Struthio camelus: one gene and its partner. The protein of the gene in region 2 purifies or fractionates together with the protein of the main gene of each other region. This does not show direct contact. Links are inferred from orthologs where the notes say so. Each region holds a gene or a part of one and is shown on either strand. Other genes may lie near its edges. The genes, in order: NOP2 and NIP7.

Evidence for each region.
Region 1: the proteins of NIP7 (region 2) and NOP2 purify together in Homo sapiens (affinity purification with mass spectrometry; 3 studies listed by BioGRID and IntAct, with this or other methods). This does not show direct contact. The link is inferred for Struthio camelus from reciprocal best matches to the Homo sapiens genes NIP7 and NOP2.

The regions. Positions count from the first base shown.
Region 1 is NC_090942.1:90,922,773-90,926,671, forward strand, and holds the start of NOP2 (28S rRNA (cytosine(4447)-C(5))-methyltransferase), read left to right. Parts: upstream 1-1,045; 5' UTR 1,046-1,131; coding exon 1,132-1,237; intron 1,238-1,317; coding exon 1,318-1,363; intron 1,364-1,442; coding exon 1,443-1,501; intron 1,502-2,044; coding exon 2,045-2,304; intron 2,305-2,612; coding exon 2,613-2,656; intron 2,657-2,814; coding exon 2,815-2,975; intron 2,976-3,760; coding exon 3,761-3,899. Other genes in the region: CHD4 (chromodomain-helicase-DNA-binding protein 4), read left to right, coding at 9-26. UniProt on the Homo sapiens protein: S-adenosyl-L-methionine-dependent methyltransferase that specifically methylates the C(5) position of cytosine 4447 in 28S rRNA. Required for efficient rRNA processing and 60S ribosomal subunit biogenesis.
Region 2 is NC_090951.1:1,622,306-1,626,175, forward strand, and holds NIP7 (60S ribosome subunit biogenesis protein NIP7 homolog), read right to left. Parts: upstream 2,417-3,870; 5' UTR 2,346-2,416; coding exon 2,290-2,345; intron 1,813-2,289; coding exon 1,726-1,812; intron 1,613-1,725; coding exon 1,474-1,612; intron 1,396-1,473; coding exon 1,255-1,395; intron 1,156-1,254; coding exon 1,036-1,155; 3' UTR 786-1,035; downstream 1-785. Other genes in the region: TMED6 (transmembrane emp24 domain-containing protein 6), read left to right, coding at 1-120.

The DNA of each region.
Region 1 (3,899 bases), on a different chromosome or scaffold from region 2:
CCCTACAGGTGGCCCAGCAGCAATGAGTCCCTGGCCCAGTGCTGTTGACCTTTTGGCCAAGCTGAAGTGACCCACCCCTTCACACTCTACCCCTCTGCCTGACATTCCTGACTGGGTGCTGTTTCCCTCCATGGAAGCTGCTCTACAGGTCTCTGGGAGAAGGAACTCCTTCTGCAGCCAGCTGTTGGAGGAAAGAGTGTGCTTAGGAGAGAGGGGGATGTATGATGGACTCTGTATATAGTGACTGGAGGCCACAGCGCCCTGTCTGTTACATGGAGAACCTGGCTGTGTTGCTCGCTGCCTCGGCCTGGAATTCCAGTTTTTGTTTTTAATTTTATTTTGAGTTTGTTTACTGAGATGAGTGCACAGGTGAGACCAAGCAAAAGCCAGGACAGAGACAAAGCTACCTCCATCAAAATCCTTTTTAATACAAAAACTGACTGGACTTGTCCACTAATAAGCAGCTTGAAGGAAGGAGAGAAAAAAAAAAAAAAGGAAAATCTTGATAGGACTGAAAAATAAAGTTTCCTTGTATTTTATTTTATTGCCTCTAATTTAGCTTTTCTGGAGAATGCTAGATGACCAAGAGTGACCAGCTGGCTCACTCCCTCTCCCTGTATTATTATCAGCAAACTACTGCTGCTCTTGTCCTGTTGCCCTGTAAAAAGCAGGGCTTCTAGTATGCTACACCTTTCTTGCATTGGCACTGACCCCTCTTGCTGTTGCCTGACGCTTTAGTCATTTCCTAGAATTTCACTTGGGTCTTTGTCATTACAACCTAAAGCCTACGCCTGGTGAAGCTTGAACCGTCTACCGTTCCCCTGACGCTTGCAGCCCGCATACCTCTGCCGCTCCCGGCCGCGGGCGGCGCCTGCGCCCGGCCGAGCCCGGGCCACGCCACGCGCGGGGGCGGGGCCGGGGGCCGCTGCCGTCACAGGCTGGGCCGGCGCTCAGCCACTCGGCGAGCGGCGGAAGCGGTGACCAACCAATGAGCTGGGCTGCCCGCCCCGGGGCAGGGGGCGGAGCCGCGGCTCGGCGCGTGCGCGGCCGGGGCCGGGTGGGGGCAGGGCGGCACGTGCGGCGGCGGCGGGGGAGCGCGGAGCCGGCTGCGCCACCCGCGGCCGCGCCGCCATGGGGCGGAAGCTGGACCCCGCGCGGAAGGAGAAGCGCGGCCCTGGGCGCAAGGCCCGCAAGCAGCGCGGGGCCGAGGTGGAGCTGGCCCGCTTCCTGCCGCCAGGTGAGCCCGGCCCGGCCTGGGGGCGCCCGGGCAGCGCCGTCCCGGGGCCGCCGACCTAACGGCGCTTCTCCCTCCCGCAGAGGCAGAGCCCGGCCGGAGGAAGCTGTCCAGCCACGGGCGCAGGAGGTGAGGGCGGCGGCGGGGGAGGGCGCGGGGCTGGCTCGGGGCCGGGCGCCGCTGACGGCCGCTTCCCCTCCCGCTGCAGGGCTGCGAAGAGGCGGCGGGCGGCGGGCGAGGAGCGGCGCGGGGGGCGGGAGCCCGGAGGTGAGTGCGGGGCCCCGGCGGGCTGCCCCGCTTCAAGCCAGTCTTTCCACTGAGTTCCACCACCTGCTCTCCGATGCAGCGGGGAGCGCCTTTAGCAAAGGAGAAATCGGTAAAAAGCCCCCCTCTTCTGTGCGTTAGCCTCTTTCTGCCTTTTATTCCGCTCGCGTCGTGGGTATCGTAAGCACCTTGGGGCGCTGAGGCTTTTAAGCGTGCTGCGTTAAATCACGTGCGTCCGAGTAAGCTCTCACGGCGGGAAGAAGGGATAAACACAGATTTGAGAAATAGGGCTGCTGCGGTATGTCAGGACAGGCACTAAAAAGACTTAGTAGCTGTATTTTTCTTTGGCAATTCTAGTCGTTTCTTTTTCGGGTTTGGTTGGGGGGGGATCTTTGTGCTTGAGCAAACCAGTATGGGGAGCAGTCTCTTCTCTTAGACAAGCAGCTCCGGGCTAGAGTGAAGGAGGCTGCTTTGCATAACAAGTCAAAAACTGGGAGAGCTGTCATATAAAATACTGCCTAACTTAACTGCTTATTCTGCCTGCAGTTAAGGAGCAGGTATCCCCATCGAAGGAGAAACACCCCAAAAAGGTAGTAGCGCAACCCCATCGTTGCCAGTCTGGCTTCAGCGATGGCAATTCAAAATGGCTGACTCCAGCCAAAGCCAAGAAAATCCAGTCTGAAGACAACAACGTGGAGTCATCCAGTGATGATGAGGTGGAAGAGGGCACCTGGGAGATGGAGGAGGATGGGAGCAGCGAGGAGATGGTCGATGATTATGGTGCCTCTTCCTCTGAGGAAGAAGAGGTATGAGCTTTTTGCCCTCGATTTTGCAGAAGAAACTTGGCTTTGCTGGCTGTAAGGACCCAGCAGCCCTGGTGGGGAAAGGGTAACTTTACTGGAAGGCTGGATGGCGAGGTGGAGAACAGCTTTATCCTTCTTCCCTTCACAAGAAGGGAATTTTAAGTTAGCAACTGGTCTCAGCAGAACACTCAATGCCTTCATCTGTTGTTCTTTTTAAACAGAGCAGGTATATTTCATAGAGATGGCACAGATTAAAGGGGTAGTTGATACTAGCTGATACTGTTTCATTAATATTTTGTCTCTCTGTTTAGTTGCTGCCCATTGAAAAAGCCGCCCTGAAGCAGAAATCTGATAGGTGAGGATTTGAGAGCGTCAGGGGTCAGCACAGTCTTTCCTGGTTGGAACACGAGGAGCCTGGGTTGTTCGTTCTTCTGTCATCCAAGAGATGATAGTTGTAAAGTGTCTGAGGAGTCCTGCTATTGTGTAAAAAAACTATATTTTTTTTATACCTAGGGGAGGCCTTAGTGAAGATGACAGTGAAGAGGAAGAGGTGGCAGAAGAGGCAGGCAGGCAGAAGAAGGAGCAGAAGGAAGAAGAGAGTGCGGATCTGCAGCTCAATCTGGATGTAGATGAGCAGTTCAAATTGCCAACTGATGAACAGATTGAGAGAGAGAATATCCTTTTCATCTGTGGCCTCTGTAAACCACGTAGCTGTGCCACTACAGAGCTTGAGTGCAACTGTAGAGCTTCATTTACATTTTATTATGAGCGTTGGTGCCTGACAAGCCGTTTTTAGTTGAATTGCCCTAACAGATAGTGGTAGCTATGTGGTTCTACACCTCTGTACAGCACGGTCAGGGAACCTGTTATTCCCTGTATGGAGCCTGGACCTTGCCCTCAATCTTTTTTTCCAGTCCTAAATGCATGTGGGTGTCTATCGCATAGTTAATTCCCTTCTACCTGGATTCCTGGGTATGTGTTTGTCTAACTCATTCTTAGAGCCTCTGATGACAGCAATTCCAGCATCCAAAGCGCGTGTTCTTGGGCTTAAGTGATCTTTTTCACCTCTTTCTTCTCTACTCTCTCTAATTGCTTCTGGAGAACTTTTAGTCTCCTTTGCGTTACAGGAAATGTTTTCAGTATTGAAAAGCCTTTTCCACGTGTCTTCTTCCCACCCCTTTTCTGCTTTTCTAGACTAACCAAACCGAATTTTTGCAAATACCTTATTTTCCCTGCCTTGTGCGCTTCCTTATCTGGTTGCTATCCTTTGAATCTCCCTTCTGCCTAACTCCAGTGAAAGCGTAGCAAACGATACATGGTAGATGTGCACACTCCAGTAAGGCCTTTCTGGTGCAGGTGCTGTATGCAGTGACTCAGGAGTTTTGCATGACTGGCTGTGCTTTTGAAGGGCCTGCGTGTGAATTCCTTGGTCGTTTACAATTCTTAATGGTCCTTCTACCTGCTGAGCCGCCTGACCTGCACATCATTCACCAGCGCATCAAGAGCAACATGGAGGTGCTGCAGGACTTTGGGGTGAAGCGAGAGGAAGGACGCACGCGACAGGAGTACCTTGCATTGCTGCGCCGGGACATGGCTGC
Region 2 (3,870 bases):
AACTATGTCAACTGGTGGTCACTGGCTCAGAGCTGCGTTATTGTCTTCTCTGGGGTGCTACAGCTCTACTTCTTGAAGCGGCTCTTTGCTGTGCAGCCCACTACCAGGCCAAGGTGCTAGGGGCTCTGAGCACCACCAACATCCCACACAGCTGGCAGCACCAGCACCCAGCCTGCCTCTGCCTGCAGCCAACAGGAACTGAATTGCTCCTCTGCATCTTCACACCAGTCCCCCTGCTGCCGCAGGACGGGGAGGGGAGGACCCGGTTCTGTCTCAGGGAGGAGGCAGTGCAGCTGGATGCACAGAATTCCCTGGGCTCCTTCCTACTCAGCTCTAGCCCTGCCTCTACTGATATCACTTTGAAGGAAAAAAGCTTGAAGTAATTGCCTTAACTTTGTGTTTGTTGGGAACAATGTTATATCTCTACCAATCTTTAAAGACAGAGTATTAACATGCCTTTCCTCTTAGAAACACAATAAACAAACCCCTGGCACAATCAGAGAGCGCTGGCTGCAGTCCATCCCCTGCAAGCCGAAGCGAAGCAAGACCTGCCCTGCAGGTAGCTGCCTGCCTGCTTCCTCCCTCCCAGGGAAGCACAGCTGTCAGCTTTGCCAGGCTGCCTCCCCACGAGCCCTGGCTGCTTGATTTGACGCAGATCCCTGTGGATTCACACTCTGCGTGTGTTACCATCTGACACCAACCTGAGCAAGGAAAACTCAAAACATAAATCAACCCTCAGCATGGGGGATGAGGACGGACACCCTGAAGCGCTGCACAAGACAAAAGACAGTTAACGAGAGGGGGAAACGGCTTTATGTAATTGCAACGCCAAACCTGCCACTCTGGGGAGCGCCATCTCCTGTTCACAGCGGCAGGACCCCCCGGGGCCCAGCAGGTGTGGGGCAGCGCTGCTGCCTCCTACCGCCCCGCGTGGGGCAGGCTCCCTGCTGCCCCGTGTGCCGGCAGCACGCAGATGGCACGGGACAAGGTCCGTTCTGCCCAGAATCACTCACATCTTCGGAGCGCACAACTCCCTTAAGTCAGCGTGTCCTCGCTCCGCACGTACTCTCCAACGTCAGCCTGGTGAAACACCACGATCGCCATGGGGTCCACCTTCCGGCAGTCCTGGGTGGACTTTGCAGCTACCCCAAATCCCTGCGGATGAAGGAGAGGTGAGAAGGACGGGGAGTTTCTCACCCCAGCAGCTGTGTCCCCCCCCACCGGAGCCTGCTGGAGCCAGGCCCAGCCACTCACCAGCGGGACATCGGCCATGGAGTACACCACCACGCCCTGGTACTGGGCCGTGTTCTCCGTGATGCGGCCCAGGCCGGACTTCAGCACGTGGTTGCCATAGAGAAAGGACTGCTCCGAGCCAGGCTTCACCCAGACCTTGTACTGTGAGAGAGGCACAGAGAGGTGAGGGGCTGCGGGGGCCGGGGCGCATGGGGCTGGGCTGCGGGGGCCACGTCCCACCTTGGCGTAGGGTGCGAGGAAGTCCAGGGCCGTGACGTTGAGCCGGAACTTCTGCGTTTTGGTGAACTTGCCGAAGCAGGTGCCCAGCGCGACCAGGCTCTCCCGGGGGATGCTTGTGGCCACCTTCAGCAGCTTCTCACTGAGGAGAGAGGGGGCAGGGCTGCAGCAGCTCCCGAGCCGGGAGGGCCACACGTGCCTGCAACCGCTTTCCAGCCTGGCCCAGCGCTCCCCCAGCGCCATGGCCCCGCTCACCTCACGTAGTAGACGCGGTCCCGGTGCAGGCGGAAGCAGTAGGTGCCATCGGGCCGGTCCACCAGCAGCTGGATGTTCTCGCCAATGCTGCGGGGAGAGGCTGTGAGTGCCCGGCCGCCTGCTGCCCAGCCGGCCCTGCCCCACAGCGGCCCCCGTCCCACCCGAGGCCCTCGGACACACGCGCCCCCCCAACCCCTCTGCTGCCCCTCGGTCCCCCCCTCCGCCGCCGAGTGCATCCTCAGTCCCCACTCCCCCCGTGCCCTCAGGATCTCCTTGTCTCCTCAGCACTGCTGACCCCGTCCCAGGCCCCTGCTGGTCCCGGTGTCCCCAGGTCCTGGACCCCTCCCCATCCCTCAGTTCCCCCCTATCCCGCAGTCGCCGCTATCTCCACTCAACCCGCCCCTGCGTCCGCTCCTGCTCCCTCATTATCTCCCATTCCCCTGTCCCCCCGCTCCCTCGCTGTCTCCCGGTTCCAGTCCCTCTCCCCGTCCCGCCCTATCTCCCGGTCCCCCTCCCGTCCCCCCGCTCCCTCACTGTCTCCCGGTCCCTCTGTCGCTCCCTCACTATCTCCCGAGCTTCTCGAAGACCGCGCGCGTCTCCGCCTCCGTCAGCGGCCGCATCGCCCCGTGCGCACGCGGGGCCGCGCCCGGAAGCGGAAACGCAGGCTGCGGAAGCGGAAGTGCGGGCCAGCGAGGGGGCGGCGCGGCGGGCAGAGCGGCGTCGGCGCGGGCCAGCGAGGGGCGGCGCGGCGGGCAGAGCGGCGTCGGCGCGGGCCAGCGAGGGGCGGCGCGGCGGGCAGAGCGGCGTCAGCGAGGGGCGGCGCGGCGGGCAGAGCGGCGTCGGCGCGGGCCAGCGAGGCGCGGCGCGGCGGGCAGAGCGGCGGCATGGCGGCGGCGGCGGCGGCGGCGGAGGAGGCCAGCCTGCTGGCCTGGCTGCTGGGCGGCGCGGCGGCGGCCGGGCCCGGCGGCGCCGAGCTGTCCGCCTACCTGGCGGAGCTGGCGGCGCTGGGGCTGGCGGCGCTGGGCCGGGAGCCGGCGCGGCTGGCGGCGGAGCGGGCGCGGGTCGGGGCGCAGACGCGGCGCCTGGCCTTCGAGCACTACCGGGCCTTCATCCGCTCCGCCGAGTGCACCGGCCGCGCCGGCCGCGGCTTCGGCGGCATCGAGCGCCGCCTCGGCAGCCTGCTGGCCCGCCTGCCCGCCCTCCAGGAGGCCTGCCGGTGCGGGCCGGGCCGGGGGAGCCCGGGGGGCGGGGGGCGGCCGGGCCCCCGAAGGGTGCGCGGGGGCCGGGGGACAGGCTGAGGCTGGGGGCGGGCAGCGTCCCGGCAGATGCCCCGGCCACGGCGGGAGCCCGGGGCAGAGGTGGGGAGCGGCCCTGGGAGCGGGGGGGCTGAAGACCCAGGAACGGGGGTGGGGGGCTCCCTGGGGCAGCGGCTCCAATGAGGGCGGGGGGGGGAGCAGGGACTGGGGCTGGGAAGAGGCCCTGGGCAACGCTGGAGCCAGGGACGGGGAGAGGCCGGCGGGGGTGGGAGGGTCCCTGGGGGCCCCGGTGAGGGAGCTGCCTGCCCGCGGCCTGGGGCTGGCGCGGGGAGCGGGCCCTCGCGCTGATCCCGTCCCGATCGCACAGGAACTTCGTGCGAGATGCCGAGGAGATCGCCTGCAGCCGGCGCATGAACAGCCTGACGCTGAACCGGCACACGGAGATCCTGGAGATCCTGGAGATCCCGCAGCTCATGGACACCTGCGTCCGCAATGGCTACTACGAGGAGGCGCTGGAGCTCGCCGCCTATGTGCGCCGGCTGGAGAGGAAGCACAGCGCCATCCCCGTGATCCAGGTGCGCCCTGCTCCGCCCCGGCCCCGCAGCTGCTTCGTGGCGCCCGTGGCTGAGGCTGTCTCCCTGTCCCCAGGGTATCGTGGATGAAGTCCGCCAGTCCACCCAGCTGATGCTGAACCAGCTCATCCAGCAGCTACGCACCAACATCCAGCTGCCAGCCTGCCTGCGGGTCATCGGCTACCTGCGGCGCATGGACGTCTTCACGGAGGCCGAGCTGCGCATCAAGTTCCTGCAGGCGCGGGACGCCTGGCTGCGCTCCATCCAGGCCTCCATTCCAGACGACGATCCCTATTTCCACATCACCAAGACCATCG